7 linked regions of the Mus musculus genome follow. The protein of the gene in region 3 interacts with the protein of the main gene of each other region in a pairwise test. Links are inferred from orthologs where the notes say so. Each region holds a gene or a part of one and is shown on either strand. Other genes may lie near its edges. The genes, in order: Gdf9, Ccdc90b, Tk1, Aplp1, Rbm48, Cops6 and Gapdh.

Region 1 (4,049 bases), about 64 Mb from region 3:
CCAGGAGTTCAACGGCCCCTTTGGCTATGGATTGAGAGAATGGGCTGTGGGTAGAGCTCAGTGAGTAAGGACAATTGCATCTAAGCTTGAGGACTTGAGTTTGAACCCTAGGGTCCCCACGGTGGAAGACAAGAACCAATTTCTGAAAACTTTTCTCTGACCTCTCCACACATGGCCCTCATCCCCAATTCACACATGCAAATACATTTCATATATTTAAAAAAAAAAAAAAAAAAGGGAGAACAGGTTTGCTGGGGAAGTGAAGCCAGAGACAATTATTAGACCATCCGGTTTCAGACCCAGCAGCTTGCTCCAAACACAGACAGCTGAGGAGAGGCTCTTCCTGTGGCGGCATCCTTACAGACAAAGCCAGGAGACCACAGAAAGCAACACTCCTGCCGGCCGGGCGGGCGTGGTGGCACACGCCTTTAGTCCCAGCATGTGGGAGGCAGAGGCAGGTGGATTTCTGAGTTTGAGGCCAGCCTGGTCTACGGAGTGAGTTCCAGGACAGCCAGGACTACACAGAGAAATCCTGTCTTGAAAGAAACAAAAAAACAAAACAAAACAAAAAAAGCAACAAGCCAACTGAGAACATTTGTCTGCAGTGGTAATCACACGCTCTGAGATTGGGGACACATGGAGGCTATAAGGCCGCTGCAGTAAAGTGGGCTGGGGGCGGGGTAGAGTGGCTTTGAACAGCCACAACTGCCCTAGACAGTTACAATGGCTTGTATGAACTGGTGGCCAGCATATATGTGTGTCTCTGTTGGGGAGTTGGGGGGAGGCTGTTAATGGACACACTCTCTCAATGGAGCACAAATAGAGGTGGAAAGACAGCTTGTAGGAGCTGGCTCTTGTCAGACTTGGTGGAAGAAGCCTTCATTCACCGAGTTATCTCCAAAGCCCTGAGTGTTTTGTTTTCTTGTTTTGATTTTTTTAAACACAACTCTTCTTTCTTACTAAAAAGGTCCCCCATTGTTGGCAAACGCTTGGAGGTCTGGGATTTTGTTTGCTCATTTGTTATGGAGACAGAGACGGGGTCTTACTGTGTAGCCCTTGCTATCCTGGAACTCTAAACCCAGCTGGCCCTGAACTCAAAGAGCAAAGCCTGCTCCTGCCTCCTGAGGGTTAGAATTAAAGTCATGTGTCACTGCAACCCCACGTGAGTTTTGTTTTGTCTTGTTGGTACTGGAGGTCAAACTCCAGGCACCTGGTATATAAAACATAAATGGTACCACATCTCAGCCATATAGTTTTGGGTTTTTGCCTTTAAAAAAAAAAAAAAAAAAAAAGAGGGCTGGTGAGATGGCTCAGTGGGTTAGAGCACCCGACTGCTCTTCCGAAGGTCCAGAGTTCAAATCCCAGCAACCACATGGTGACTCACAACCATCCGTAACGAGATCTGACACCCTCTTCTGGTGTGTCTGAAGACAGCTACAGTGTACTTACATATAATAAATAAATAAATAAATAAAAAGAAAGAAAGAAAGATGTACTGTGCAGGTGGAGACAAACTTTCTTCTTCCAGGAAAGCAAACGAGGGGAAATGTTCCGGATCACACCCAATACTAAATCAAAAGCAGGCTTTAGGCACCATGCTAGGCCAACAACTTGGTAGAATAAAAGAGATGCTAACTGCCTCCAGAACTTTCTTTGGCCTTTCAGGACATTAGTCTCTTCTAGCCTTAACATATTGAGATGGCGTGGTGCTGTGTGCCTGGAATCCCAGCACTAGAGTGACTGAGCAGGAGAGTCACTGCAAGTTTGAGACAGTCTCAAAAAATAAAAAAAAATTTAAAAAAGGAAACTCGAACAAGATAAAATCTATTAGTTTCTTAACTAAAGATGCTGTAGGAAACAAATAAAACAGTGTTATCAATGCTATTGGCCAGGGATGTAGTAGCAGAGGGCGTAGCTAGCATATGTGAACCCCTTGCCCTCAATTTAATCCTTAGTACCACCACACCAAAACAAAAAAACAAAAAAAAAAAACTTTAAACTTTTTAAAAAGTGCTAACTTTAAAAGAAAAAGTTTGTTTCAGTTGGACACTGAGAATCATGCAAAATAGAATTCACAGGATGGTGAAAACCTGTGTGATTCCAGTACTTAAGGAGCCGAGGCAGAAGGATGCAGAGTTCTGAGTACAGACTGGGTAACAGGGGTAGATCCTGCCTCAAAACAAACCAAGGGACCCAAATCAAAGTGTGGCTCCTTCTGGTAACAGAATCGGTAAAGCCTCTGTCTTTTCTCCCAGCCCAGTTGAGCAACCTCCTCTTACCCACCTGTCACCTGGTTGCTGGGTGCCTGCTCTTGCTGGGCACAGGGACTGAAGAGCCGGACGGTATTGTAGAGGTGACTTCTGCTGGGTTTGGGAACCCCCTCTTTGGTAGCATACGTCTTATAGAGCTTTTTCATGTAGTAGAGTGCTCTGGAGTCAGGCTGCAGCTTAGGGGTCTCACCTCGCCTATCAGATAGAACCTTAAAGAGGGGGGGCAAGAGGCCAGACCTGTCAGTCCCATCTACAGGCAGCAGCAAGGACCAGGGGTCTGCCTCAGACTCCACATTTTCACTGGCTCCACTCTGGGATTCTTCAGTAGAAGCCTGAGAGCTAAGGCTACTAAGAAAACACAGCCAGGCAAAGCAGCAAACCCCCAACAGGAAGTTGCTGGGAAGTGCCATGACTTGGGAGAACTAAGAAGGAACGCATCTCCTCGTGCCAGTCTTCTTTCTAAAGGTCGGGGAGGCCCTGGCGTGGTCCTTAAATAAAATCTAGGTGTGGAAGACTGACTTCACTTCTGTAATCAGACCTCAAGCATGCCTAGCTGTACATTGTTTCTTATCAGCTCTACAGCAGTCAGCTGACAACACGGTTTTATCCAATTTGTTCTCATTAGATACAGATTTATCTACTTATTTGGCTTTCTTTCCCTGTTTCTCCTGGACATTTATTTCAAACCCACCAAGTATCGTCACCCTAGTGGACTACTTATATAGGTGAGAGCCCAACAGAAACCCAAGGAATTATAAAACAAAACCTCTTAGGGCTGGAGATGTGACTGCAGAAGTATTAGGTTTATTTTTTCCTCTTGATTCATCGTCTATCTCCACAGCTCCCACGTCCAGGTGGTTAGAATAACTGATGGCTTACTGCACAGTGAATCAGAGAAACAAAGTCACAATGGGTTCTGAAATTCCAGTGATGTTAGGCTGTTCAGCCTGTCCAGGTGGCTTAGTAGAGGGGTTGTAAAGTTGGCCCAAGACAACAGCTACTTGCAATGTGCTTTGAAAAAGGACATCAGGGCCCAGGTGTAGAGGTTCACGCCTTTAATCCCAGCATTCAGGAGACACAGGCAGGTGGATCTCTGTGGATTCAAGCCAGCCTGGTCTATATAGAGAGTTCTAGGACAGTCAGAGCTACATAATTTTGAGAGACCCCATCTCAAAATAAAAAGAGGACATCACCTTTAACTTTGAGCAATTAAAACATACAATGTCTTGGGGCCAGAAAGATGATGGATGACCTGGCAGTTAAGGGCACTGGTTGCTCTTCTTAGAACAACCATTTATAGCTCCACTTCCAGGGGAGCCAATGCCTTTCTCGGGCATCCTTAGGAATACAAAACACCCATTATAAAATGAAAATAAACAATTAAAAAAAAGCCACAATATCTAGCTGGAATGGCAAGATAGCAACTTGCCGCCAAGCCTAACGACCAAAAGTCATCCAGTCCTAAAGGCCTAACTTCAACCCCTGTGATCCACAGAGAAAAAGGGAGAAGAGACTTCTACAGCTCGTCTTCTGACCTACACCCCTAGCACTTACATACCAAATACATATTTTAAAATGTAGTGACAGTACAATATCCTGATGCCCTTGTTTTGGTCTACAATTCACTTGACTATACTTTGGTTGAAAAATCTTGAGACATCAGCAAATGCAATTAAATAGACATCGTATTTATTCTTTAACCAACCACCCAGATGGCAGAAATCAGGACAGTGTTTTAGTCCTTGATTAAAGTATTTGTGTCCCGGCCTTGGAGGTGAG
Region 2 (4,125 bases), on a different chromosome or scaffold from region 3:
AACATCCCACTCTCAGCTGGACTAGAAGATTAATTGTTTAAAAACTTACATGATACTAAGATATTACTGTTTCCTTATTCTCTACCTTCTCCTGTTTTTCTATTACAAGTTCTTGTGAAAAAATATAAAAGCAAAATTCTGGGCCTTTAGGCCCAGGCTTGGGAATGTGACTCAATGCTCCAAGGTATGCTAGTCATAAAACAGACATTCCTCTACCCACCGCTTCCTGGGTTCAAAGAGTGTTCATTCAAAGAAAGTTACCCTGACCCCCCCCCCCTGACCATTGCTGGAACCCGCTATGCAAATGTGCCATTGTTAGGGGCTCTTAGAAACTGTCTTGAGAGATAACCCGAACAATTACCAGGTATTCCTTGTGACTCTTGTGACTTTGCACTTCCTTTTGACTCTTAACTGGTATCTTTGGTATTTTCCAACAATGCCTTCCCCACTTCCTTGAGTTGTGGTTTCTTCCTTTAAATACCCCCTTACCCAGCTACTTGGGGCGCCAGGGACCTCTACCCCTGCGTGGTGTATTACTGTGGTCCCGAGAGCACTCTTGAATTAAAAGTCCTCTTGCAGTTTGCAGCAAGACCGTTTCTCATGCGTGATTTGGGGTGTCGCCTCTCCTGAGTCAGAACGTGGGGGAGTCCTCATGTTGTGGGTCTTTCACTTGGAGAGCAGAAATCCTTATAATCCCCACATAGCCTGGGAAAAAAATCCTGTACAGTAAGAACTTAAATTGTTGTTGGAATTCTTTCTTTGTTCTTCGAATTATTAATCTTTAAACCTAGCTGGCATTCAGATATTTCTGAAAATGAAATTGGAAAATATTTTAAAGTCTAGAGTGCTTCGCTTGAATACCAGGGACCCACCTGGCAGCCCAGGAGAACTGTCTCTCCTGTCTCTGTCCCTAGTACCCACGACAGAATCATTTTAATTTCCTTCTATGTGTAATCTACTAAAGTGCTTGCTGGTGGGAACCAAGTTTTGTTTTTAATGAGCTTCAGTGCTTGAAATGGTGGCTGGTGGGTAGCTGATTCCCACAAAGTTGCAATCTGGGTAAGCGACAGACTAGTTAGTACATTGCTTTCAAGGTTTTACCAGGTGGGGCAATGACTTTGGTAACTGAAGTTGGAGAATGTTAAATCATGAACAATGCCGACCCAGGAAATGGAGAATTTTCGTTTCCCTGAAGAAAAGGCCTAAAACAGTTGGTCCTCCAGTGCACCAGAGGGCCAAGCAGAGAGACGCGAAACTGCAAGTGTGTGATACGCTTTGGACTTCCACGGGCACTGGTCGATGCTACAACGCGGTCTCATCCCCACAATCCTCAGCAGCAAGGACTGCGGGTCCCATGATGCTATGCTGCTACGCTGGATTCGGTCTGGGAAGCTTGCTGCGGGACTAACTCGCCGCCCGCAAATGGGCGCCAGAAGGTTCTCCAAGACCCCGCTTTCTTAGGGCGGTAAAGGCGGGAAGAGATGGGAAAAGGGCGATGTGCTAGGGGGATAAGCTCTGAGTCGTGTTAAGTGTGGCTCTGTGAAGAGGCCTAGCTTTGTAGAAGAAAAACCTCTCAAGTAGGTGCTTTGGTGACAGACCGGAAACTACATTTCCCAGCATCCTGATGGTGAGAGGACTTCATTGTCCGAAAGCCTCAGCGAAAATCAACGCGTATTCCGCTTCCCCTTGCTGACCTGCGGGGCTCCGAGACTATGAGGAGCCGCTGGATTTGGCGGTTCCTGCGCCCTGACGGCGGCGGAATCCGCTGGACTTCAACTCCTCATGGGCGTCTGTCACCCGCCCTGCGGAGAGGTGAGACGAAGACTCGCTCAGGGAGAAGGTTCGGGCGGGTGTGCCCGCTCAGGCGTCCGCGAGAGTGACACACCCCCTGCAGGGCCCCGCCCACCCGCGCAGAGCCACCCGCGAGCTCCGGGGATGGTGGGTCTTGGGCGTTCCAGACAGGGTCTGGCTGGAGGGCTTCCTTCCTCCTAGACCCAGCCCCTGCGGACCTGCGCCTCCTCTCGGCTTGAGTTGGTGGGGGCGCGGGGCGGGGTTCCGTCTCCATTTATGAACTCTTAGGTAGTTTGCGGGTGTTCTGATTTACAAATCACATAGTAGGGTTTTGTTTTGTTTTTTAAGTGTCCTGGAACCTATGCGTTTCCAAACACTTTGTTAGTCTGTATATCCTGGAGAATATCTTACTTTACTCTGAGAACTATTTCCAAGGCTTTTTTTTATACTTGTGCTTTTCAGTTTTTCCGCCGTAAAAGGCATCCCAACCTCCACATTTCGTTCTTCCTGGATCTGTGTATGATGATAAACTGAGTTATTCAGTACCCAAAAACACTTCTCCGCCCTCCACACTTGTGTGGTTTTGTTGTTTGCCACTGTTTTGTTTTCACCCTGTTATTTAATTGTATTTGTTCCGCTGACTTTCAATCAAGGCTGCCCTTGCAAGGCTACTGTTTAGCTGCTAGAATTAGTCACATCTTTGAATCCATATTTAGGTAGTTATTATAAATACACATTCTGGTGGACTTTTCAGAAAAGGGTGGCGAGGTGGGTCCACTGGTAGAAACTTGTGCTGCACACAAGCATAACAACACAAAGTTGAACCCCCAGCCACTTCCAGGTTCAATAAAAGCTGCCCTATCAAAGACTTAGGAAGGGCATGACAGAGCAGGATACAAAGACCTCCTCTGTTCTCTCCTTAGGTATGTGTGCCCTCACACACAAAGGGGTAGCATTGTTTTGAATCTGATGAAATAATTCAAATCTCAACTTATCTGTGTACTTTTACCAAAAATATAACACCCCAGAAAAATGTTAATATTTTGGTACAATTTTCAAGTTATTCCACTTGAAGTCTGGTTACTCTTGAGGAAATCTTGTCTCCCCTTAAAATTAGTGCATGGTTTGTGTCCCTGTTCAGTGTAACAAGTATTTACTGCTTACTATAGACAAATGTCAATAGTCTAGCAAATTTGAAAGTTGGTCCTTATCCCATGGAAATACCACAGTATAGTTATTTTCAAGTAGATGGTGAGATGCAGAGGAAGCCGTGATTTGTCTACGTTTTTGTCGATGGTGCTGCAGTCTTCATTTGTTACTATCCACACTTAGCAGTACATCAGAAACACTACAGATGATTGATTCTTCTAAGTACAGATTGCCAAGCCTTATGACCAGAAGTACTGAATCAGTCCTCAGGTGGAGAGGAAGCATTTTTGTTAGTTCATTTAATTTGCCAAGATTCTCTGAAGCAACATATACATTATGCCACTAGACTATAATGTAAGAATATGTTCTTTGGAGTTGTTAGTTTGAAATGAGTTTCACTGTGTAATCTTAGCTGTCCTTGAGCTGAAGAGCGGGCTGGCCTTGAACTCACAGAGATCCACCTGTCTCCACCTCCCGAGTGTTGGGATTAAAGGCATGTACCACCACCTACTCCCTGAGAATATATGCTTTAATTCTTTGAATTTTTATAGAAAAATAACAAGCTGGTACCAGGCGAGATAAGTCTGCAGGCAGAGGTATTATTGCCAAGCCTGATGAGCTGGGTTTGGTCCTGGGACTCATGTGATGGAAGAAGAGAGCCAAGTCCTGAAAGCTGACCTCTGACCTCCACACATACTTCTACATGCACACACCCACATACATACATCCACATACAAATATACAAATAAGAAAACTTACCAGTTATGTCTTTGAAGTGGTTCAGTTCTAAAAACGGCCAATAAATTAATAATTAGATTTAGTGAACTCTATTTTATATGCCTTTTTAAAAAGTAAATTTTGGCCTTTTCCAAAAGAGTCATTTTCTACAAGATAGTCCAGAGATCTATAGTAGAAATTTTGTAAATTGTTAAGTCTTTTAATTTTGAATTTGCTATCTCACTGTAAACATACAAGATTAGTTTGAAAAAATTAAAATGATGTATGTAGGGTTTTGTATAGATGTCAAATGTACTCTTGTTTTGTTTTTCAAAAAAGGGTTTCTCTGTATAACCCTGGCTGTCCTGGAACTTGGCTCTGTCACCTAAGCTGGCCTCAAACACTCAGAGATCTGACTGCCTCTCTGCTGGGATGAAAGGCATGTACCACCACTGCCTGGTATCAAAT
Region 3 (4,191 bases):
GTGGCAGAGCATTTGCCTGTTGTGCTGGGTTCAATCTCTACCACCACGAGGGGAAAATGTAAGATGCCCACACTTAACACAGAAAGCCAGGAGGACACAGGTTCCTAAGCCAACACAGGAATCCTGAAGACAGTGAGTGCGTCTTCACACTGAGGCCTGGGGCTGGGCACCTTTGGCTCTCTCCAGCTGTCTCTAGCCTTGCTCTTCTCGTTGATATAATGGGGGTGCTAGACGCCCACAGGGTTGGAAGGGAGGTGTGTAAGAGAAACAATGTAAGCCCCTTGCTCAAACACAGCTGCCTCTGCCTCTTCCTGTTGAATGTTCGTCTTACATGCTATAGACCCTTCTCGTTCCGGTTGGTACCTGCTGGATGCTAGGGGCCTGGCTAGGCATCATCTTTTTTTTTTTTGTCGTCTTTTTGTTTTCTCATCTCTTGTAACTGTGTAGCTGCCTCGAGGATCAAGTGCTGAGATTACTGACATGTGCCAAAAGTCTTTTTATTTCCTCTTTAAATGTGTGTGCCTGCAGTCCCTTCTGGAGCTGGACGCTGTGAGCTGTCTTGATGTGGGTGTTGGAAATCCTCAACTCTGCGCCTCCGGAGGAGCTGTGGATGCTCAACAGCCGAGCCATTTCTCTAGCCCTCTGCCTTCATTTTTACTATTAGGATTTATGATTGATTGTATTTTAAAGTTTATTTTTTGTGTAGTCCTGGCTGACCTGGAACTCACTCTGTAGACCCGGCTGGCCTTGAACTTAAGTCACCTGCCTGCCTCTGCCTGGAATTGAATGCTTGAGCCACCCCCGAGGACACATGTTCCTAACTTTCAACAGATTCTAAGTGATGTCTGTCTGTGACCAAAACAAAGAAGCCTGTTTAATACAAGCTAACCAGTCAAGAAATCCTAGTGGAATGGTAATTAACTACAGCAAGCGCCAAAATGTGTTGTCCTGCTTTGTGTATGCCTTTGGTAACCCTTGCCGCAACCAATGGCAGACAGAGTAACCAAACAAATTCCTGAGTGAGAAGGTTTCTGGGCATGCTCGGTGTGAGCCATAGGAGTTTTAGCATGGGAATTCTGAAGCCGCTCAATACAGTCTGTCCCTGAAGGTGCCTGCCTTACTTTGCGACTCACAGCAAGGACCCCCAGCCTTGGCACCTTCCAGACTGTAGTTACAGAAACACAGAATCACACTGCACAACCTCAGAGTAAGGTCCAAACCCTAAGCCCCTTAGTTCCTGCTGGAACTTGAGTTTTCGCTGTCTTTAAAACCAGGCTAACAAGCTAAACCTGCTCTATGACGAGAAAAATGAAGAAATCTGGCGCTCAACGCTTGGAAATTTGGCTTGTGGGCATCCTAAAATTCCAGTCCCGGCTCTGGGCGGCTGCACCACACCTACCTCCGAAGACAAGTTCCTCCAGGGATTCTGGCCCGCAGAAAGGGAAGGAAACGCCATGGCCAGATCCGGAGGGGATGGTCGAGCTCCAGGCTTTTCACGTAGCTGAGAGGTGGGACGAGTCTTGTCTTCGTCCCGCCCCCTTTTGAGTTCGCGGGCAAATGCGAGCAGTAAGTCGAAATTTTTCCACCCACGGACTCTCGGTGCTAACTAAGGTTTGCACAGCAGCCATGAGCTACATCAATCTGCCCACCGTGCTGCCCAGCTCCCCCAGCAAGACTCGGGGGCAGATTCAGGTGCGGGGTCTGGAGTGGGGTCGGGTGGTGGCTGGTGCGGGGTGTACAAGGGGGAGACCCCTTAAATGACTTCTCTTCTAGGTGATTCTCGGGCCCATGTTCTCAGGGAAAAGGTAATGAATGGGCCTTCGGGGCGGTGGGCCTCCCTCTCTCTCTGCAGCCTCTCTCTCTGCAGGCCCTGGCTCTCCTCTCCCCCCTCCCCCATCTTCCCAGGAGCCTCTGACTAGGCGGCAAACGCGCTCGACCTCTGTGTGTACATTCCCGCCCAAAATTCGATTTCCTGGATTGCTGCCATCCTCCTGCCCAAGCCTTTTCTCTTGGGGAACCCTATCTTTGCTGAGGCGGACCACATGGGGGTACAATTGAAGACCCCAGCCCACATTACCCAGGAGCCCACCGAACTCTCATGTGTCCCCTGGGAGTTAGGCACCTTCTCTGACAGTTTCCTCATTCATTCCCCATGCGAGCTCTCCTAAAGCCTTGGAGCCCAATTAACTCTGAGGTGAGGGTCTAAACTCTGGGAGTCCCACCCAGAATAACAAACACACACTACTTGGGTTTTCTTTGCTTTATCTTGGGGTTAGTTTTTGTTTTTTTTTTTTTAACTCAGCGTCTTTATTTGTGGCCCAACTCAGAGATCCGCTTGCCTCTGCTGGGGTGCATCACCATACCAGGCACCTCATTATTTCTGAATGGTCTGGTGTCACCTCAATTTGTCCCTTGCCCCGAGGGTGAGGGCCAAACTCATGATCTGGGATCCAGAAGCAAGCTCTCTGGTGATTCTGTCAAAGACTTTGAAGTTCATTCATGAAAATTGAATTTTGTTCAGAACAGCATGGGGTGAACGGCTGCAGTTCCGGCTGCCCGACGCTAGGTGGTAGTGGCAGCCCGCCTTTTGCTCGGGCCTCATGTGCTCTGGTTAATTCTTGCAGCACAGAGCTGATGAGAAGAGTCCGGCGCTTCCAGATCGCCCAGTACAAGTGCCTGGTCATCAAGTATGCCAAAGACACGCGCTATAGCAACAGCTTCTCCACACATGATCGGTCAGTCCTACCCCTGAGCCTGCCCTTCGGAAACCCCTAAGCCTCGGGGCACACTGCTGCTAGCCTCTAGTGGATATGAATAAGTGCTCAAAACTTACTTAGAATAACCTGTCCCCAAGTGTCCATTGTACCCACGGAGGCTGGGAGAACCTGGGTCCCACTTGGGTAGAGGCTGCAGCCCTCTTGACTCCAGAGATATTTCCCCCCCTCTTTAGTTGGCTCTCTGCCATTAGGTAGCCGTCATCATTCTGAATTGTCTATCTATCAGCCCTTCCACTGGACATTTCCCTCTGAGCCCAAGGGTAGGTAGGAGTTCAAGAAAGTAATTTGTGCCTCTCGGGGTTGCTGGAGCTGGGCCAAGGGTGAGCAGCCTGGGGTAGAGCAGGTTTCTGAAGCGGAGCAGGAAGTGGAGCCGAGAACTACCAGGACTTGGGAGTTGGCCTGGGGATTCAAGCCAGGCTTCCTGCCAGACTCTGTACTGAGGTCTTTACAACTGTCTTTGTAACCACGGTGCCAGCGCTCAGGACGGGATGTGCATCCAGGAGGACCGAAATCAGAGGAGGCAACAGTGCCTAGAGTGGTGGCCACAGCTGGCTTGTTGCCTGTCCTCTCTCTGGTCCCCTCTACCAGGGGAGGGAAGAGAGAATTTAAGATGCCCGAGTGTTGTGTTGTGTTCTTTAGTTGGTTTCTTTTATTTTTTTCTGAGACAGGGTTTCTCTGTGTCGCCCTGGCTGTCCTGGAACTCACTTTGTAGACCATGCTGGCCTTGAACTCAGAAATCCTCCTGCCTCTGCCTCCCAAGTGCTAGGATTAAAGGCGTGCACCACCATGCCCAGCTTTGGTTGGTTTCTTAGGGAGGTGTGTGTTTGCACACAGGTAACCATACACCCGCGTTCAGAGGACAGCCTCGGGTTATAAGATCTGTGTTCCACACTCATTGGCCATATCTTTTTTTTGTTTTGTTTTGTTTTGAGACAGGAACTCTCTACAGACCTCTGGTTGCCCTGGAATTCACTCTGTAGACCAGGTTGACCTTGAACTCACAGAGATCCAACTGTGCCTGCCAAACGCTGGGATCAATGACATGTCCCACCACACCTGGCTCAGTATGCTCTCAAAGCAAGCCCTTTACACATTCAGACATCTCCATCCTGTTTTTGATTTGTTTAGGGTTTTTGCATGTAGATCTGCACGCTACTTGCTTGTCTGGTACCCTGGGAGGTCAGAAAAGAGCATCCGATTCCCTGGAACAGGAATTATAGATAATTGTCAGCTGCCATGTGGTTCCTGGGGGTAGAACCTAGGTCCTCTGCAAGAATGACAAATGATCTCTCAACCCATTTACTGAGGCAGGTCTCAGGTAGCATAGGTGGGTTATAACTTGTAACCCTCCCTCCTCTTCCTCCTGGAATTACAGGCTAGCAATCCCACACCCAGCCCACAACTCCTTCAGATC
Region 4 (4,004 bases), on a different chromosome or scaffold from region 3:
GGACAAGGCCCTGACCTCCTGAGCCTCCTGATGCCTCCTGGTTGAACTCTCACACTGGTCCATACGCTCCTGGTGCAAGAACCGACAGCCTTCGGGCACTAGCAGGGCTTCACTCACGAATTCGCCAGCTGGGGAATGGGAGACACCAGAATCATCACCAGAATCATCACCCAGGCCTGCCCACCTCAGAGGCCAGGCATTCATAGCTTTCTCAGCCCATCACCCAGACTTCAAATGTAGACCAAAGTCATCTCTGGTAGACTCCCACTTCACCTCAGTTCCCACCCCACCCCCCAGCGGGTGACTCACGCAGGCAATGGAAGGGCACAACCTCATGGTGGGGGTGGGCGCATCTGCCACTCCGGGTACCCCCACACCAGCGCTCCATCGGGATGGCCTGTGCAGCCTGCTCCACGCGTGCTATGTGCAGCTCGGGGTACATCTGTAGGACACAATGTGTGTGGGAGGAGGTGGGGGGGGGATCAACCTACTGGCTGACCCCCACCCTCTGCATCTCTCATTTGGCAGCAGTACTGGGGATTGAACCCAGAGCCTTGTACATGCCAAAGCCATGCTCTACCACCAAACTCCTACATGTCCAGCCCTCTTTTTACTTTTTATTTTGAGACCAGGTCTCCTTACATTTCCTAAACTGGTCTTGAACTCATTCTGTAGCTTACGAGGGCCTTTAATTTGTGATCCTTCTACCTCAGCCTTTCCAATAACTGGGATTATGGGCCCATGTCACTAATCTCAGCTTGAGCAGTTCCTTTTTACGTGTCTTGGTTCCTAAGGACATCCCTGGGCCTTCGTCTCTTGTCTATAGAACTAACAGGTTAATTTGTAAGCCTCAGATGCTAAGCTTCGGGTCCACTGGTCATACCCTAGTGGTCTCCCTTAAGTTCACCATTCTCACGAGGCCTTGATAAAGGTCCTCAGGCTTTGACATGCCAAACTCAACTTCTCTGAGCCCACGTTTGAAGGCAACCCTGCTCGGCAATCAGGTTTCTTGCTCTTTCACTTCCTGCCTTTCTCTGTTTAGCTACTAAGTAACTCTTCTTTGTATTAGCCCCGCCTTTTCATTGCACGTCTCTTAGGCAGGCAGCCACTCTCATTGGGCTCCATCACTTACTGAATCTTGTTGGTTTAAAAGGTCTCTTGATCTAAGCCTTGCCTCTCTTTCGGCCACGCCCACTTACACTCCCACTTTTTCTAAACGGATCCATAGATTCCTAAACCATGCCACTCTTCAGGCGACCTTGATTAGTCCATGGGGGGTGTGGGGGGGTGTTGTTGGGTTTTTTTTTTTTCAGTCTCCACCGCCGCCCCGCGGCCCCTAATTTCTCAAAATAGGTTTGCGCTGGCCCTTTAGGAGGGGCCTCTTCACTGACCACAGACCCCCAAGCTTTCCCTGGCTTTACAGATTCTCTCATCTCCCTAGACTCTGCCAAGTCCAGCTTCCTCAAGGGCGACCCCGCCCCAGCTTGGATCCACTTTCTCATTGACCACGCCTCTCCCCGTGGGGTCCCGCCCACCTGTCTGCAGTACTCCAGCACGCGCTGCGGGTCCAGAAGACAGCGTCGTGATCGCTGTGGGTCTGGTTCCCAGCGGCCGGTGCGCAGGTCCCGGTGAAGGGTTAGACGCCCACATAGTCCAGCCACTTGAGCCGACCCCGGAGCCTGGGAATGAAGGCAGATGGGGCAGTGAGGAGCCAGGGCAACGATGTCATCTGTGTTGTCTGGTTCTTTGCTCCCTAAAACCCAGATAGGGCTCCTGCCCCTATCTCTAGCACCAGCTCCTTCTAAGCACCTTCTGAGTGGAGAGACCGTTCCCCGGGAAACAAATCCCGTGGGGCTGGAGCGCCCCAGCTCTCCCGTTGCTATGGTGACCTGGGTCCCCACCCCCCCGCCCCGTTTCTCGCGGCCTTGTTGCTGAGAAGACAGGCTCCGCCCCCGCCCCAGCGGCTTGGGTCTGAAGCCTGAAGGGGTTAAACTTGAATCGTGTTGGGGGAGGCGGGGGGCGAACCCAGGCGTTCTGGCCCCTCCTCCCTCCATCCCCAGTTCAGGTTCCCACTGAGGGGGTGCAAAGACGACAGGGCCCAGCTTCCCAGCAGGCCTGCACATCAGACCTTTAAGGACTAGAGGAGCTATATCCGGATTGAGTAGTGGGTGGAGGCCCGGACTACTGGATGTTTGAGGGCAGGGGGTTCATGTGGGTCCAGATAATACAAGGGACCTGGGTTCTTAGAGCCAAGCGCCTACTGCCTGGTGCGTCCTACGCTTAGGTGGGCAGGTCTTGGGGCTTTGTCGTCTAGGGGTGCTCTGGATTTCTTGGACCAGAGGCTCTTGGAAAGAGCCAGGTCCGACGATGCGGGTGGGAGGGGGCAGGGACGTCAGACGATGGAGGAACCTAGGAAAATCTACAGTTCGGATCGCGTGGGGCAGGCCACCTGGCCAAAAGGACTGCGGTGGCCGTCCCGCGTCCAGGTCGAGGCCCGGTCCCGCCCCTTCCCCATCCCCAGGACCCGGCCGGGCCTCACCTCGGCCGCGCTGGGGCTCCCAACAGCCAGGTTCCCGACGGCGAGCTGCGCGCGCAGAAGCAGCAATGACAGTGGCAGCAACAGCGGCAGCGGCGGCGGTCGCCAGCGGCGACCCTGACCGCGAGCGGCGGGGCTGGTGGGCCCCATGTCCGGGCCTCGGGCCCTCACGTCCCCTGCGCTCCCGCCCGGCCCTACCCGGCCCCAGCGGTGACAGGAGCTCCCAGCGCCACCGCCGCCTCCTCCTCCCGCCGCCCCCGGGCTGCGCCGGCGCCGCCAGCCCCGCCCCGCGCCGGCCCCGCCTTCCCAGCCAGGACAATAGCGTGGCGGCTCTGCGCACTGAGAGGCTCCGGAACCCCGGGAGGGAGCCTGCTCCAAGTCCCAGCCCCTCAAGATTCCAGGTGTCACTGTCCGCGTGAAGACCGAGTCACTAGGTTCAGTCCTGGGCGTAGCCGTTTTCTGGACTTTCATCCTTGGCCTTCTCTTCTGGCAAACGCAGACACCCAGCATCAGCTTTGTCCTCCTCCAAGGATGCCAGAATCCATGGGGGTGGGGGTCTTCCATAAATCCCTCTCTTGAGGTCCCAGGAATATAGACCTCCGAATTTTCCCAGTCAAGAATTTAGGGAGTGTACTAGGAAAGCCTGTAATCCCGGCACCTGAGAGGAGGGGGCGGGAGGATAGGAGTTTGAAGCTAGCCTACCTACATGCAACCCAGTCTCAAAAGACAAAACACAGCTACAGCTAGGTAAATCTGCTCCCTTCCAGGCCTCTTCTGTCTCAGGACCGGAGGCCAAGTCTCCCACCCTTGCTTCCTCAAACCTAGGAAGCCTTCCTGCCCTGATTGCCAGGTGTCTGGATCTTCAAATACTCCCTCCAAAAATCCATGACTAAACCCTTTCTTTACAGATGACTCGGGTCAGGTGCTGGATACCATAGCCTTCCAAGACCAGCACCTGAGGACCACTGTGTGGAGTCCCCCATTCTCACCCTTTCTAAGGGCCACCTCAAGTCTTCTGCCTAAAGGGTTCACTGTTTTATCTTAAGTGAGTGTACAATATTCTAATCCCCCCCCCCGAAGCAGCCCAGATGTGTGTGTGTGTGTGTGTGTGTGTGTGTGTGTGCATCTGTATGGTGTGGACCTGCCCACATTTGTCTGTCTTTCTGCTTTGTGTGTGTGTGCATCTCTGTGGATGTGGGTGGGGTGAGGTAGTGGTGTATTATTAAAAGAGTTTAAAGTGGAATGGTGATGTGCACCTGTAATCCCAGAGGGCCTGAGGCAGCAAGATCAAGAGTTCCAGGCTAACTGCTGAGAGAAGGCTCAGTGATGAAAAGCACTGGCCGCTCTCTCAGAAGACCCGGGTTCAATTCCCAACACCCACACTGTCTATAACTCCAGTCTTAGGGGACCCATCCCTCTGTTCTGGTCTCAGGGACCAGGAATGTATATAGTATACAGTAACACATGC
Region 5 (4,300 bases), on a different chromosome or scaffold from region 3:
GTAATTGCTAAAAGCAATGACCTCTCAACAAAAGTCATATTAATACTACACAAAACCAGGACAGGAAGCTGGGCGTGGTGGCGCACGCCTTTAATCCCAGCACTCGGGAGGCAGAGGCAGGCGGATTTCTGAGTTCGAGGCCAGCCTGGTCTACAAAGTGAGTTCCAGGACAGACAGGGCTACACAGAAAAACCCTGTCTCGAAAAAAACAAACAAAACAAAACAAAACAAAACAAAAAACCAGGACAGGAAACCTCATGTGTATCTAGCTCCACCTTTCTATAAACAATAAAGATTAGATATAAGCATGCAAGACTTAATCCAAATGCTTAGTATTTTACTTCTTCACTTCTCAAATAATAATAAAAATAATAATAAAGACCAAGACTATGTAATTCCTAAACAGTGATGAATCCAAGGAAGCAACAACATGTCAGGTTCAAATTCTTAGCGACCATAAGGAAGCATTTTTCTAAACTCATGGGGTGGTAAGCTTAATTTGAGATTTGAAAATACACTGAAAAATCCCCATCAGAAATGACAGGGAATAATGATCCAAGCTGGGATTTGGTAACAGTGAATGATTCCTTTCAGTCACCAGAAAGCAAACCAGAGAGTTAGAGAATATTTGGTGGAGATAAACTAACAGTAAGAATGGTTCTGATGAAATTGGTGTGTTCTGATAGGTGGACTGTAAAAGCAAGATAAATGTAGCAAAGAGGAAATAAAGGTAGAATACTTGAAGTCATTTCAAACTCTTGTATATTTTTTTTATGACCCAGTGTTCAGGTACCATGCATCTAGGATTTTAGATTTCAAATACTCTAACCCCATGAATACACTCAAACTAAGAGAGTCTATTTCTGCTCACTCTTAGGAAAATATGGATGCTGTATTTCCACCGATGGTTAATAGCCTTGAAACACCATAATGACAGAATCCAGACAGCTCGCTGAGGTCCAAGTAATCCTAGCTACCGAGGTGAAAGTGTGGGGTGTGAATAATTCCATCACCTTGTCACCCCGCCCCACCTCCCTCGCCGCACATATTCTTGCTATGTTCGAAGTCCTCCGGAGCAGGGAGAGCTATCTATCCTTTTATTAACCTTTCGCACAGGTTGGAAACCTTGGTAATCTACAAACCAAGTCTGCCACTCAACACCTCTATCGCTGCACCGGCAACTCGTTGGCAGGATAATGCTTTAGCAACCTGTAAGCAAACCTGTAAGAGCTCTCTAGAACTTTCCATCCTTGAGTGAGGGCCGCTTCTGACTGCTGGGGCAGAACCCTTGCATGCTCAGCTTGCTTTAACCGAGTTAAAGGGGTGCACTAGGAATTCCACGGTAGGGTCTGAGGATACACTAGCCGTGGTGTGGATGCACACGCTGCCACTCCACGCCATGCCCGCAGGGGGCCCTCGCTCACGCCTCAGCTCGGGGTCGGTGGCAGACGATGTCCCTGCAGGAAAAGGTGTCAGCTGACCCTAGTCCCACGAGACGTCAGTGGTGTCCGCGTCCCGCCAGCGCGTTACCTGCAGCAGGTGAAGCTGGGCCACGAGGCGCCGCGGCAGATGCAGGAAGCAGTCCCGAGCATTCGTGAAGGCCACCGTCACGACCGCCCCACCAGACCCCGCACCCGCTAAGCGATCGCTGCTCCACATTGTCCCAAGGTTCAACTCTCACCGGAGAGCGGAGTCCACCGGCTTCTCGTCAGGTGAGAGCGTCGGAACCCGAGAACATCGATCAGGCCCGCCCCCCTCTTCCCACGCCCGGCCGCTGTCACCCTCGGGCCACCTCCGAAGCTCTAGGGGGCGGCACGTCGCTCGTCGAATTCTCGCTCTCAGGAGATGATCGTCGATGGGGTCGATCCTTCAGCCAATCCTAGCACGCCTGGTCCATCCTGCTCTCTTATTGGACTCAGAGGAGCGCGGCTGGCGGATGTTGTTCTGGCGCGGGGGACTAGAGCCGGCAAGATGGCATCCAGTGACGGGAAACCTGGTGGCGTATTCGATCACCACGTCCAGACGGCTGTGTGTGACTCGCGGGCCAAATACCGGGAGGGCCGACGCCCTCGCGCGGTCAAGGTAGAGTGACTCGGATTCTTCTCTCCCCTCGGCAGGGACACTAAATTCCTGTGAGCACTAGCTCCCCAAGGCCTGCCTCCATAAAGGCATGGCAGGGATGTTGTGAGATCCATCTCTAAGTGGAGGGGGCACGAAGAACCCGGGCCCCGGTACCAAAGGTTATCACTACCCTCGGTTAGCTGCTTACCAAACCTCCAACCCACTATTTTTAGCTTTGTATCCTATGTGTTTACAATAGCGCTTCTCACAGGGCAAGCCCAGGGTGAGTGAGTGTTCAGTGGCTGTTTACATTAACCTCTCTGGAGTCAGCTTTTGGAAAAGACGTCTGTTAAGTGGTTTAGTCAGATACCCTTATGTGGAGTGTGGTAGTCTTTAGGCAGAAGAGTGACAGTTTAGTGTGTATGTTTTGCAGACCGGATTGTTTCTTGTTTTCAAAGCTCCATTTAAAAGGGGGTGGGAGGACCGATTTGCCATAGGCTTGTTTGAAGAGTACATTTAACGAGGTCTCCTTTGACTTTAGGTATATACAATCAATTTGGAGTCTCAGTACTTACTAATACAAGGAGTTCCTGCAGTGGGAGCCATGAAGGAATTAGTTGAGCGTTTTGCTCTGTATGGTGCGATTGAACAGTATAACGCTCTAGATGAATACCCAGCGGAAGATTTTACAGAAGTTTATCTCATTAAATTTGTGAAATTACAGAGTGCAAGGTATGTACAAGTTAAGCAGAACTCCTGTTAAAATCTTATTCCTGTTGCTGTCATTTTGGCCCCAACTGTTTCCCAAATGTACCCAAAGCACAGAAGCACTTCTTGCTCTCAGTCTTCCTGATTGGGGGGAGGAGGGGAGGGGACAGGGTTTATTTGGATAGCCTTAGCTGTGCTAGAATTAGTTCTGTAGACCAGGCTGGCCTTGAACTCAAAGATCCCTTTGCCTTTGCCTCTGACTCTCGAGTGCTGGGTTTAAAGGTATGCACCACTCCACCTCGCCTTCCAGTTTGTTTTTCACCAGGCCTCACATCTGCGACTTAATCACTCTAACAGTGAGTGACATCCCAGCTCTTCCTTCAAGCTTTTAAAAGGCTGACTTTACAACAATACTCTTCCCATCCTCTCATACCTGTGCTTGGCAAATTTTGAACCTGTAGTGTGGTAGATTAAGAATTACGTTTGAAGTAAATTATCAGTCCTGTGGATTCATGACTGTGGAGAATTTTAGTCCTCCAAGCAAATTTTTGTTCTTTTCCTAAAATCCATATGGCAAAAAGGACTACTTCTTGAGGTTCACTGAGCAAGGATGAAATGGGACAATTTATGTAAAGGGAGTAGACTGGTACCTCCTATTAAGAGGAAATAGTAGAGCCGGGCAGAGGTGGCACATGCCTGTAATCCTAGCACCAGGGAGGCAGAAGCAGGTGGACCTCTTGAGGTGGAGCCAGCCTTGTCTACAGAGTGAGTTCCAGGAGAGCCAGGGCTACACAGAGAAAACCCTGTTTCCAAAAAACAAGCAAACAAACAAAAAGTAACTATTAGTAATGACAGTTCTTATTTGTATAGTTCTATGTTAATCAACTTTGTATTCCAATAAGGAATGCTTTATTTTATGTTAACCCCTTTTGGCGGGGGGGGGGGGGGGTGCATGTGTGTGCATATTCCTGTGTGTGTATGTGTGTGTGTGTGTATGTGAGTGAACACTAGCCTGAAACTGGCTGTGTAGACCAGCTGACCTAGAACTCAAAACTTCCTCCAGACTCTGCCTACCCATCTCCACCAGGTTCAAAGGCTTGTGTGCACTACAGTGTACTCTATCCTATTTTTTGAGGTTGGGCCCCTCCCTCACTGAGCTCATTGGCTAGATTGGTGACTGTCAAACTCAGTGATCCTTCTATCTCTACCCTGTGAGCACTGGAATTACAGGCACAGTGCGGTGCCTGGCTTTCACGTGCATGCCAGGGGTCTGAGCCAAGGCACTCCAGCAAGGGCTTTTCCACCGGAGCAGCCTTCCTAGCTCATGTTAGCCATTTTTTCATTTTAATCACTAACCTTATCTAAACCATATCTTTTTCTGGCTTTTGCTATTCATAAACTTTTTTTTTTTTTTTGGTATGGAAAAAGACTTCAAATCCCCTGGAGCTGAAGTTACAGGTGGTTGTGAACCACCCAAGATGGATGCTGGGATTTGACTCTGCTCTTCTCAAAGATCAGCAAGTGCTCTTTT
Region 6 (4,176 bases), on a different chromosome or scaffold from region 3:
AAAAAATAAATAAATAAAAATAAAAAGTAGCCCGGGCGGTGGTGGCGCACACCTTTAATCCCAGCACTTGGCAGATTTCTGAGTTCAAGGCCAGCCTGGTCTACAAAGTGAGTTCCAGGACAGCCAGGGCTATACAGAGAAACCCTGTCTCGAAAAACCAAAATAAAAATTTAAAAAAATGGCTGTTATTGGCCCCAAATGAATGATTGTGGACCAAATACTCTTTCTTGGCTATTTAAGCAGGTCGCTTAGCCTTAGTTATTGTCCAAGTAGGAAACGTTTTCTTTTATTTTTATTTTTATTTTTATTTTTTTTATTTTGGAACTCACTCTGTAGACCAGGCTGGCCTCGAACTCAGAAATCCGCCTGCCTCTGCCTCCCAAGTGCTGGGATTAAAGGCGTGTGCCACCATGCTGGGCAAGTAATTGTCTTTTTTTTTTTTTTTTTTTTTTGGTTTTCTTTTTTGTTACAAGTAATTGTCTTAATCACTGTTCTATTGCTGTAAAGAGACACCATGACCAAGGCAACTCTTCCCCTCCCCCCACCTTTTTTTTTTTGTTTGTGCGACAGGGTTTGTTTGTGTAGCTTTGGCTGTGATGGAACTCACTTTGTAGTCCAGGCTGGCCTTGAACTCATGAGGTCTGCCCGCCTCGATTAAAGGCTGTGATTAAAGGCGTGGGCCACAAGCCCTCCCAATAGCAGTTGCTAAGTTGTGTAAAGAGGTTGTCTTGAAACTGAAGAAGCTGAACAATTCAAGAGTAATTACTACTGGGGAGATGGCTCAGGGGATGAAGTGTTAGGACCTGAGTTTAGATCCTCAGTACATCGTTTTAAAAGCTAGGCATGCTGGGTATGGTACACACCTTTAATCTCAGCATTCAGGAAGGAGAGGAAGGCGGATCTCCTAGAAGTCTGCCTAGACGAATAGCAAGTTCCCACCAGCTGGCCAACATTGTAAGACCCTATCTCAACAAACAAGTGATCAAGTCTCTATAGATTATATGCAACATGAAAAATTTTATATCCTGAATAAATTGTCTTCCCCATTCCCTTTTACAGCCTTTCCTCCTTTTGATCGCAATTTTCTCTGTGTTTAGTATTGACAGTGTATCCACTTGAGACCTGGAAACTAATAGCCCTCCTTGGGAGGTAAAGGCAAGAGGATCAAAGTTCAAAGCCATCTTCAGATACACACTACAGAACTCATGGCCAGGCTGGTTTACATGAGAACCGCTAGCAGCAGCACAACACGCAGAGCACCCTGAGCTACTAAGTACTGGCAGCTGCCCCGCCCATTAGCAGCACCAAGTATACACTGAGCATGCACCGCTCCCCGACGGAAGCCGAGAAGGAAAGGGGCGGGCCGTGGCTGGCGGGCGCGGGGAAAATGGCGGCGGCAGCTGCGGCGGGGGCGAATGGGAGCGGAGGCAGCAGCGGCATGGAAGTGGATGCAGCAGGTAACGGGGTGCGCAGACCGACTTCTGGAGTTGCCCTTGAGAAGTGGTCTTGAGTACTTCTTAAACCTGTCCCAGGATAACTTGAGGGCAGCGATGGACGGCCGGGCTCTGCTGGTCCCCTGCTTCCATGTCTAGGGGAAAATGTGTGGGCCCGAGCTCTCAGCCGCTATGTTTTCCTTTCACCTTTAACAGTCCCCAGCGTGATGGCCTCCGGAGTGACTGGGAGTGTTTCCGTCGCTCTTCATCCCCTTGTCATCCTTAACATCTCAGACCATTGGATCCGCATGCGCTCCCAGGAGGGGCGGCCTATGCAGGGTGAGTGTTGTGTGTAAATCTCAAAATCTCTTGGAGATTTCCTCCAGTCACTCCCCTGCGCCCTTTCTTCCAAATTATTGTTTCCCCAGTCGTTGATTCACGCCGACTCGGGAAAGGTTTTCCGAGACGCCTGTTCCTCACCTAGTTTCCTTGCGCTTCTGTTTCTCTCCCCTTAGTGATTGGGGCTCTGATCGGGAAGCAGGAGGGGCGAAATATCGAAGTGATGAACTCCTTTGAGCTGCTGTCCCACACCGTGGAAGAGAAGATTATCATTGACAAAGAATATTATTACACCAAGGAGGAGCAGTGTGAGAGGGGAATAGAAGTGGGTGGGGAAGGAAAAGTGGGAAGATTTTTGTTTTGTTTTGTTTGTCTTAAAGAATAAAAGGCCTGAGGATGTAGGGCAGTGGGGTAAAGTGCATTTCCTAACATTCGGGAAGACCAGAGTTCAATCCTCAGTACCATATAACCCAGGAGATAGAGGCAAGAGGTCAGAAGTTCAAGGTTAGTTAGGTGTAGTTATTTTAAACTGACCCAAAATATGAGGAGGGAGGGGAGAACCGGAAAGAACACACCAGGCCCATCAAACTAAGGAAGAGAGGTTTAAAGGAATATTTACTCTGGCCCCTTCTTCTCCAGTTAAACAGGTTTTCAAGGAGCTGGAGTTTCTGGGTTGGTATACCACAGGGGGGCCACCTGACCCCTCAGACATCCACGTCCATAAGCAGGTATAGAAGCTCAAATATGTGCATGTTGGGGAAATGAACAGAAGGTTAGGGGAAGAGGAGATACTGACTCTTCCTGGGCTTTGCCTTATCTTCTAGGTGTGTGAGATAATTGAGAGTCCGCTCTTTCTGAAGTTGAACCCTATGACCAAGCACACAGATGTGAGTGTTGTTGACCCAATGTCCCCTTTTTCTTGATCATCTGCCACTATGCCTTTGCTCTAATTTACCGACATTATGTGTATTAGAGAAAGCTTGAGTTGAATCTCTACCCTGCTGTTTACACCCATCAGTTGTGTGACTTCATCTCTTCAGTGGTGTTTCCATATGTAATGTGTGTAAAACCTAGAGAAAGCATGAGCCAAGTGTGGTGACAACACTTGTAACCAATCTTAGCACTCAGGAGATTGAGGCAGGATTGTGAGTTCAAAGCCAGCCTGGCATGTGTGTAAGTTCAAGTGCATTTGCTTTTAGTAAGAGCTGTTCTCTTGTCTCCGTCTGTGTTTTTACAGCTTCCTGTCAGCGTTTTTGAGTCTGTCATCGATATAATCAATGGAGAGGTAATATATAACCTGCAACCTTCAAACCTTTTAGCCTGTTTCCTGCATGCCGTGTGCAGGCATAGGACAACCCTGGGTGTCCATCCTAGCTTTCTACCTTGGGACAGACTCACTTGTTTGCCAGGCAGGTTGGCCTGTGAGCTTCTGGGAATTGTGTCTCCACTTCCCATCTTGCTGTAGGGGTTCCAGGATTACAGTCACATGCTGTCACATCTCACTTAATGTGGGTTCCGAGGCTCTAAATTGAGATCCTCAGTTGTGCAGCAAGTACTCTACCTGCTGAGCCATCTGCCTAGGCCTAGGTCTGTTTCCTGACTCTCCCTATCTGAGAACTCTTTACTCTGCAGGCCACAATGCTGTTTGCTGAGCTCACTTACACTCTGGCCACTGAGGAAGCTGAACGGATCGGTGTAGACCACGTGGCCCGGATGACAGCAACAGGCAGTGGGGAGAACTCCACTGGTAAGGGAGGGGAATTCAGTCTTTGGAGGTAGGGGTTGGGTGTGGCCACAGGCCGCCCTTCATTTGCCCCATTCCCCTGCAGTGGCTGAACACCTGATAGCTCAGCATAGTGCCATCAAGATGCTGCACAGCCGTGTGAAGCTCATTTTAGAATATGTCAAGGCCTCTGAAGCAGGTAGGAGAGGTGCCTGTCACTTTGAAACATTTTTCCTCTCCTGGAAAAGTGACAGCATCCACATCAGTGCAGCCTCCTTGTGTCCTTAGGAGAGGTTCCCTTCAACCATGAGATCCTGCGGGAGGCCTATGCCCTATGTCACTGTCTTCCAGTTCTCAGCACTGACAAGTTCAAGACAGACTTTTATGATGTGAGTGTTGACACCTTTGATGGGGAGGTGGGGCTCACACCACCTCACAGGTAGGAGGTGAAACTCAAGTGTCACTGGCTAATACGAGGGACCCCTGGGGAACTGGTTCTTTGTGTTCCCTCCCAGCAATGCAATGACGTGGGGCTCATGGCCTACCTCGGCACCATCACCAAAACGTGCAACACAATGAACCAGTTTGTGAACAAGTTCAACGTCCTCTACGACCGACAAGGCATTGGCCGGCGAATGCGGGGACTGTTTTTCTGATGATGGTTCTGGAAGGGATGGTGTG
Region 7 (4,208 bases), on a different chromosome or scaffold from region 3:
CACCCTTCCCACCCTGTTCATCTGGCCTGCTCCCCGCTCATGGGAAGCCTGGGCACGGGCCACACAGCTGTCAGTCTAACACAGCCTTGGCTCTGGGGCCCCAAGGAGGTAGGGCAATCTGGAAGGGCAAGGAGCCAAGACTAGATTTGGGGTGCAGCCCAGCGTGCTCCCTGCCTTTTAAGCAAAGGTTATCACCAGGCCAGCTAAACTTAGCAATAGGCTCTTGAGCTAGATGAGCAGGGGGCTGGTTTCATGTTGCACTGGCCTAGCAAAGAGGCGCCAGAGTCCCCCTGCCCTGCACCTGCTACAGTGCTCCCAAGCCCTTCCACCCTTCCCAGCCTCCCTACCCTTCGGAGTGAAGAATCCCGGTCTCGAAAAGACAAAATAAAACCAAAGAATGCCTTTTCTCCCTTCCACTTGTGGCAAGAGGCTAGGGGCTTCCCTGTCCTGGCTCAGGGGTATAATATTTCCTCTCCTGTGTTCTCCCCTCACTGATCTCACCCTGTGTCCACGAGGGCAGCCAAAAAAGGAGAGTCCCTGGCTCCAGGGCCAGTCAGCACGTCCCTGGATGGGGAGGGACTTCCGCCCTCACGTCCCAACTCTCCACCCTGGGGCTACAGTGGGTGAAAGGGGCAGTGTCTCCTAGCCTGGGCGGGGCAGCTCTCAGGTTCCGAGGAGGGATACTATAGGAGGCCTCTGAGCCTCCTCCAATTCAACCCTTAAGAGGGATGCTGCCCTTACCCCGGGGTCCCAGCTTAGGTTCATCAGGTAAACTCAGGAGAGTGTTTGTAAGTCTCAATTATCAGGTTTCCAGGCTGCAGGGCATCCTGACCTATGGCGTAGCAATCTCCTTTTCAAGCGTCTTCCTGGCCACCCCCTTGCCCTCACAGCGCGGTACACAAGCCAGGCCTCTGGCCAAAGACAGAAGCCAGGAGGGGGGGGGGGGCAGATAGGGAAATGGGGCTCCTGAGGGCTCCCGCGGGAGGAAAAGTGCCCCCACCCTGGCATTTTCTTCCACTCTTTTTTTTTTCGGGGGGGGGGGTTGCTGTGTCACTACCGAAGAACAACGAGGAGAAGATCCTCAACTTTTCCGCAGCCTTTTCAATAATGGGGAGAGGTTCGATGATGCAGTGGCAGGGAGACCCACACTTCTCCATTTCCCCTGTTCTCCCATTTTACTCGGGAAGCAGCATTCAGGTCTCTGGGTCCTGGATGTCCTTGGTGCACACTCCAAGGACTCCTCGTCCTTAAGTTCATAGTCTGTATTCCCTGAGTCCTATCCTGGGAACCATCACCCGGTCACCTCCTGAGCGGGGCAATCTCAGCTCCCCTCCCCCTATCAGTTCGGAGCCCACACGCTTGGTGCGTGCACATTTCAAAAATGAGGCGGGTCCAAAGAGAGGGAGGAGGGGAAATGAGAGAGGCCCAGCTACTCGCGGCTTTACGGGTGCACGTAGCTCAGGCCTCTGCGCCCTTGAGCTAGGACTGGATAAGCAGGGCGGGAGGCGGGGCGCGCGTCATCAGCTCCCCCCCACCATCCGGGTTCCTATAAATACGGACTGCAGCCCTCCCTGGTGCTCTCTGCTCCTCCCTGTTCCAGAGACGGCCGCATCTTCTTGTGCAGTGCCAGGTGAAAATCGCGGAGTGGGCCGCAGGAGGCCGGGGACAGTCGGAAACTGGGAAGGGGAGTGGGCACTGTACGGGTCTAGGGATGCTGGTGCGAAGTGTGCAAGCCGGACCCAGGCTCCGCATTGCAGGGGGGGGATGATGGAGGACGTGATGGGGCGCACGGCGGGAATGGAGGCGGGGTGGGGGAGGGGACTGCCTGGTGTCCTTCGGGCCACGCTAATCTCATTTTCTTCTCCTGCAGCCTCGTCCCGTAGACAAAATGGTGAAGGTCGGTGTGAACGGGTGAGTTCCAGGGCGGGGCCCTGCTCCGTTGCCTACGCAGGTCTTGCTGACCCGGGGGCTCTGCAGTACTGTGGGGAGGTGGATGAGGTGGCCGAAGCGCCCAAGGAGACCTCAAGGTCAGCGCTCGGACCTGGCGATGGCTCGCACTTGCGGCCCCCAGCTGCTGCACCTCTGGTAACTCCGCCTTTGCGGGGATGAGCGGCCCGGAGTCTTAAGTATTAGGAACAACCCCACGCGCCCGTTCAGACCCATCCCGTAATCCCCAGTCCGGGGCTTCTTTCTTTACTTTCGCGCCCTGAGGAGTCACGTGCCAGGAGGGAAGCCCCTCCCCCATCTCCCCCTTCCTCGGGGTCGGTGGCATGGCGTTGTGAGGTGCATACCTTTGCGCATCATCTCCCAGGCTTGGGCTTCCTTTAGGGTAACTGGCCGCCGCCATGTTGCAAACGGGAAGGAAATGAATGAACCGCCGTTATGAAATCTTGCTTAGGCCTTCCTTCTTCCTAGCTTGTGACTAACCTCATTCCTCTCGGCTGGGTGGAGTGTCCTTTATCCTGTAGGCCAGGTGATGCAAGGCTTCCGTGCTCTCGAGAGAGTTCTACCTCACAATCTGTCTCACCTTATTAGCCTTAAAAGCCCTTGAGCCTTATTGTCCTCGGGCATAATGCGTATTCTAGATTATTCTCTGAAAATCAAAGCGGACTTACAGAGGTCCGCTTGACCTCCCAACCCCAGAGGTAGTTATGGCGTAGTGCAGAGCCGTGGGATGGGGAGCTGAGTCATGGTGGTTCTGAAAAGAAATTTTCCACCACAAAATGGCTCCTGTAGTAGCAGCCCCTTCCATCCCCTGCACTTCCCATCACAGCCTCGCACTGACCCAGGCCCTATAGGCCAGGATGTAAAGGTCATTAAGAGGATTGGGTGTCCCTGCGCCTCAGAATCCTGCCCTTCTCCCCGTTCCATCCTCCAGAAACCAGATCTCTCCACTCCGCCCTGATCTGAGGTTAAATTTAGCCGTGTGACCTTTCTGGATCTGGGGTCTGAGCGGGCTCTCCACCCTGCTCCCCCTACACACATCTGTTGCTCCGGCTCTCATTTTTGCCCGAGAAGAACAGGTGTTTCGCGAACGAGCCCTGGGATTAGGGTTGGAAACCCCCCACATGTTTTCTCAGTCTTTCCCCTTAGTTCGAGGGACTTGGAGGACACAGGTGGGCCCGCCCTGTGCTGCTCACGCTGACCTTTAGCCTTGCCCTTTGAGCTTGCTGATGAATGAGTTCACAGGTCTGCCCTGTCCAGGGGGTGTAGCCTGAAGTCCAGCCATGCTGGAACAAACTTCCCAGGGCATGAGTGATGGGGGTGATGTGCCAAGCTTGTACCCAGACTGGGGCAAACTGCCACTTCTTAAGAGACTTAGAATGACTTGGAGGAGGTTTGCTGGGCAAGCAATCACCTCTTGGACAGGAAAGAAACCTCCACTTTATAACCGTGCTATAAAAGCCCTGCCAGGCCTCGGCTGCTCAAAGAATATAAAATTAGATCTCTTTGGACTTTCTAGGGTGGGAACAGTCTATATTTGGGTTGTACATCCAAGCATTCAACTAGCTTTATTAAAGGGAATTCTGAACAAAACATGAACTTCCTGATGCATACATTTCTAATGTACTGTGTCTGCATAAAGGCTTGTACCTTTGTTGTGGTACGTGCATAGCTGATGGCTGCAGGTTCTCCACACCTATGGTGCAACAGTATTCCACTCTGAAGAACATGAGATAGCCTGGGGCTCACTACAGACCCATGAGGAGTTCTGATCTCAGCTCCCCTGTTTCTTGTCTTTCAGATTTGGCCGTATTGGGCGCCTGGTCACCAGGGCTGCCATTTGCAGTGGCAAAGTGGAGATTGTTGCCATCAACGACCCCTTCATTGACCTCAACTACATGGTCTACATGTTCCAGTATGACTCCACTCACGGCAAATTCAACGGCACAGTCAAGGCCGAGAATGGGAAGCTTGTCATCAACGGGAAGCCCATCACCATCTTCCAGGAGCGAGACCCCACTAACATCAAATGGGGTGAGGCCGGTGCTGAGTATGTCGTGGAGTCTACTGGTGTCTTCACCACCATGGAGAAGGCCGGGGTAAGTGGCCGGAAAGCTGAAGGTGACGGGCACCCTTGATATGGTGCAACCTGAAAACCAAGAACTGAGTCTGAAATCAACTTCTTTCCCTTAAACAGGCCCACTTGAAGGGTGGAGCCAAAAGGGTCATCATCTCCGCCCCTTCTGCCGATGCCCCCATGTTTG

What was found.
Region 1: the proteins of Tk1 (region 3) and Gdf9 interact in a two-hybrid assay, tested with the Homo sapiens proteins (2 studies listed by BioGRID and IntAct). The link is inferred for Mus musculus from reciprocal best matches to the Homo sapiens genes TK1 and GDF9.
Region 2: the proteins of Tk1 (region 3) and Ccdc90b interact in a two-hybrid assay, tested with the Homo sapiens proteins (2 studies listed by BioGRID and IntAct). The link is inferred for Mus musculus from reciprocal best matches to the Homo sapiens genes TK1 and CCDC90B.
Region 4: the proteins of Tk1 (region 3) and Aplp1 interact in a two-hybrid assay, tested with the Homo sapiens proteins (2 studies listed by BioGRID and IntAct). The link is inferred for Mus musculus from reciprocal best matches to the Homo sapiens genes TK1 and APLP1.
Region 5: the proteins of Tk1 (region 3) and Rbm48 interact in a two-hybrid assay, tested with the Homo sapiens proteins (2 studies listed by BioGRID and IntAct). The link is inferred for Mus musculus from reciprocal best matches to the Homo sapiens genes TK1 and RBM48.
Region 6: the proteins of Tk1 (region 3) and Cops6 interact in a two-hybrid assay, tested with the Homo sapiens proteins (2 studies listed by BioGRID and IntAct). The link is inferred for Mus musculus from reciprocal best matches to the Homo sapiens genes TK1 and COPS6.
Region 7: the proteins of Tk1 (region 3) and Gapdh interact in a two-hybrid assay, tested with the Homo sapiens proteins (2 studies listed by BioGRID and IntAct). The link is inferred for Mus musculus from reciprocal best matches to the Homo sapiens genes TK1 and GAPDH.

The regions. Positions count from the first base shown.
Region 1 is NC_000077.6:53,432,037-53,436,085, reverse strand, and holds the start of Gdf9 (growth/differentiation factor 9 precursor), read right to left. Parts: upstream 2,801-4,049; 5' UTR 2,681-2,800; coding exon 2,284-2,680; intron 1-2,283. UniProt on the Homo sapiens protein: Required for ovarian folliculogenesis. Promotes primordial follicle development. Stimulates granulosa cell proliferation. Promotes cell transition from G0/G1 to S and G2/M phases, through an increase of CCND1 and CCNE1 expression, and RB1 phosphorylation.
Region 2 is NC_000073.6:92,559,824-92,563,948, forward strand, and holds the start of Ccdc90b (coiled-coil domain-containing protein 90B, mitochondrial), read left to right. Parts: upstream 1-1,325; 5' UTR 1,326-1,712; coding exon 1,713-1,812; intron 1,813-4,125.
Region 3 is NC_000077.6:117,823,215-117,827,405, reverse strand, and holds the start of Tk1 (thymidine kinase, cytosolic), read left to right. Parts: upstream 1-1,391; 5' UTR 1,392-1,399; coding exon of another isoform or gene 1,400-1,456; 5' UTR 1,457-1,557; coding exon of another isoform or gene 1,558-1,626; coding exon 1,627-1,692; exon of another isoform or gene 1,693-1,773; coding exon 1,774-1,805; exon of another isoform or gene 1,806-1,903; intron 1,904-2,104; exon of another isoform or gene 2,105-2,194; intron 2,195-2,624; coding exon 2,625-2,735; intron 2,736-4,191. UniProt on the Homo sapiens protein: Cell-cycle-regulated enzyme of importance in nucleotide metabolism. Catalyzes the first enzymatic step in the salvage pathway converting thymidine into thymidine monophosphate.
Region 4 is NC_000073.6:30,442,783-30,446,786, forward strand, and holds the start of Aplp1 (amyloid-like protein 1 precursor), read right to left. Parts: upstream 2,801-4,004; 5' UTR 2,687-2,800; coding exon 2,540-2,686; intron 1,680-2,539; coding exon 1,536-1,679; intron 443-1,535; coding exon 310-442; intron 129-309; coding exon 16-128; intron 1-15. UniProt on the Homo sapiens protein: May play a role in postsynaptic function. The C-terminal gamma-secretase processed fragment, ALID1, activates transcription activation through APBB1 (Fe65) binding. Couples to JIP signal transduction through C-terminal binding.
Region 5 is NC_000071.6:3,593,748-3,598,047, reverse strand, and holds the start of Rbm48 (RNA-binding protein 48), read left to right. Parts: upstream 1-1,500; 5' UTR 1,501-1,530; coding exon of another isoform or gene 1,531-1,659; 5' UTR 1,660-1,845; coding exon 1,846-2,082; intron 2,083-2,602; coding exon 2,603-2,793; intron 2,794-4,300. Other genes in the region: Pex1 (peroxisome biogenesis factor 1), read right to left, coding at 1,531-1,659. UniProt on the Homo sapiens protein: As a component of the minor spliceosome, involved in the splicing of U12-type introns in pre-mRNAs.
Region 6 is NC_000071.6:138,159,726-138,163,901, forward strand, and holds the start of Cops6 (COP9 signalosome complex subunit 6), read left to right. Parts: upstream 1-1,376; 5' UTR 1,377-1,387; coding exon 1,388-1,457; intron 1,458-1,649; coding exon 1,650-1,772; intron 1,773-1,948; coding exon 1,949-2,080; intron 2,081-2,411; coding exon 2,412-2,500; intron 2,501-2,596; coding exon 2,597-2,659; intron 2,660-3,009; coding exon 3,010-3,057; intron 3,058-3,404; coding exon 3,405-3,519; intron 3,520-3,601; coding exon 3,602-3,694; intron 3,695-3,783; coding exon 3,784-3,884; intron 3,885-4,010; coding exon 4,011-4,151; 3' UTR 4,152-4,176. UniProt on the Homo sapiens protein: Component of the COP9 signalosome complex (CSN), a complex involved in various cellular and developmental processes.
Region 7 is NC_000072.6:125,162,974-125,167,181, reverse strand, and holds the start of Gapdh (glyceraldehyde-3-phosphate dehydrogenase), read left to right. Parts: upstream 1-1,408; 5' UTR 1,409-1,630; exon of another isoform or gene 1,631-1,870; coding exon of another isoform or gene 1,871-1,888; coding exon 1,889-1,911; intron 1,912-3,745; coding exon 3,746-4,043; intron 4,044-4,141; coding exon 4,142-4,208. UniProt on the Homo sapiens protein: Has both glyceraldehyde-3-phosphate dehydrogenase and nitrosylase activities, thereby playing a role in glycolysis and nuclear functions, respectively.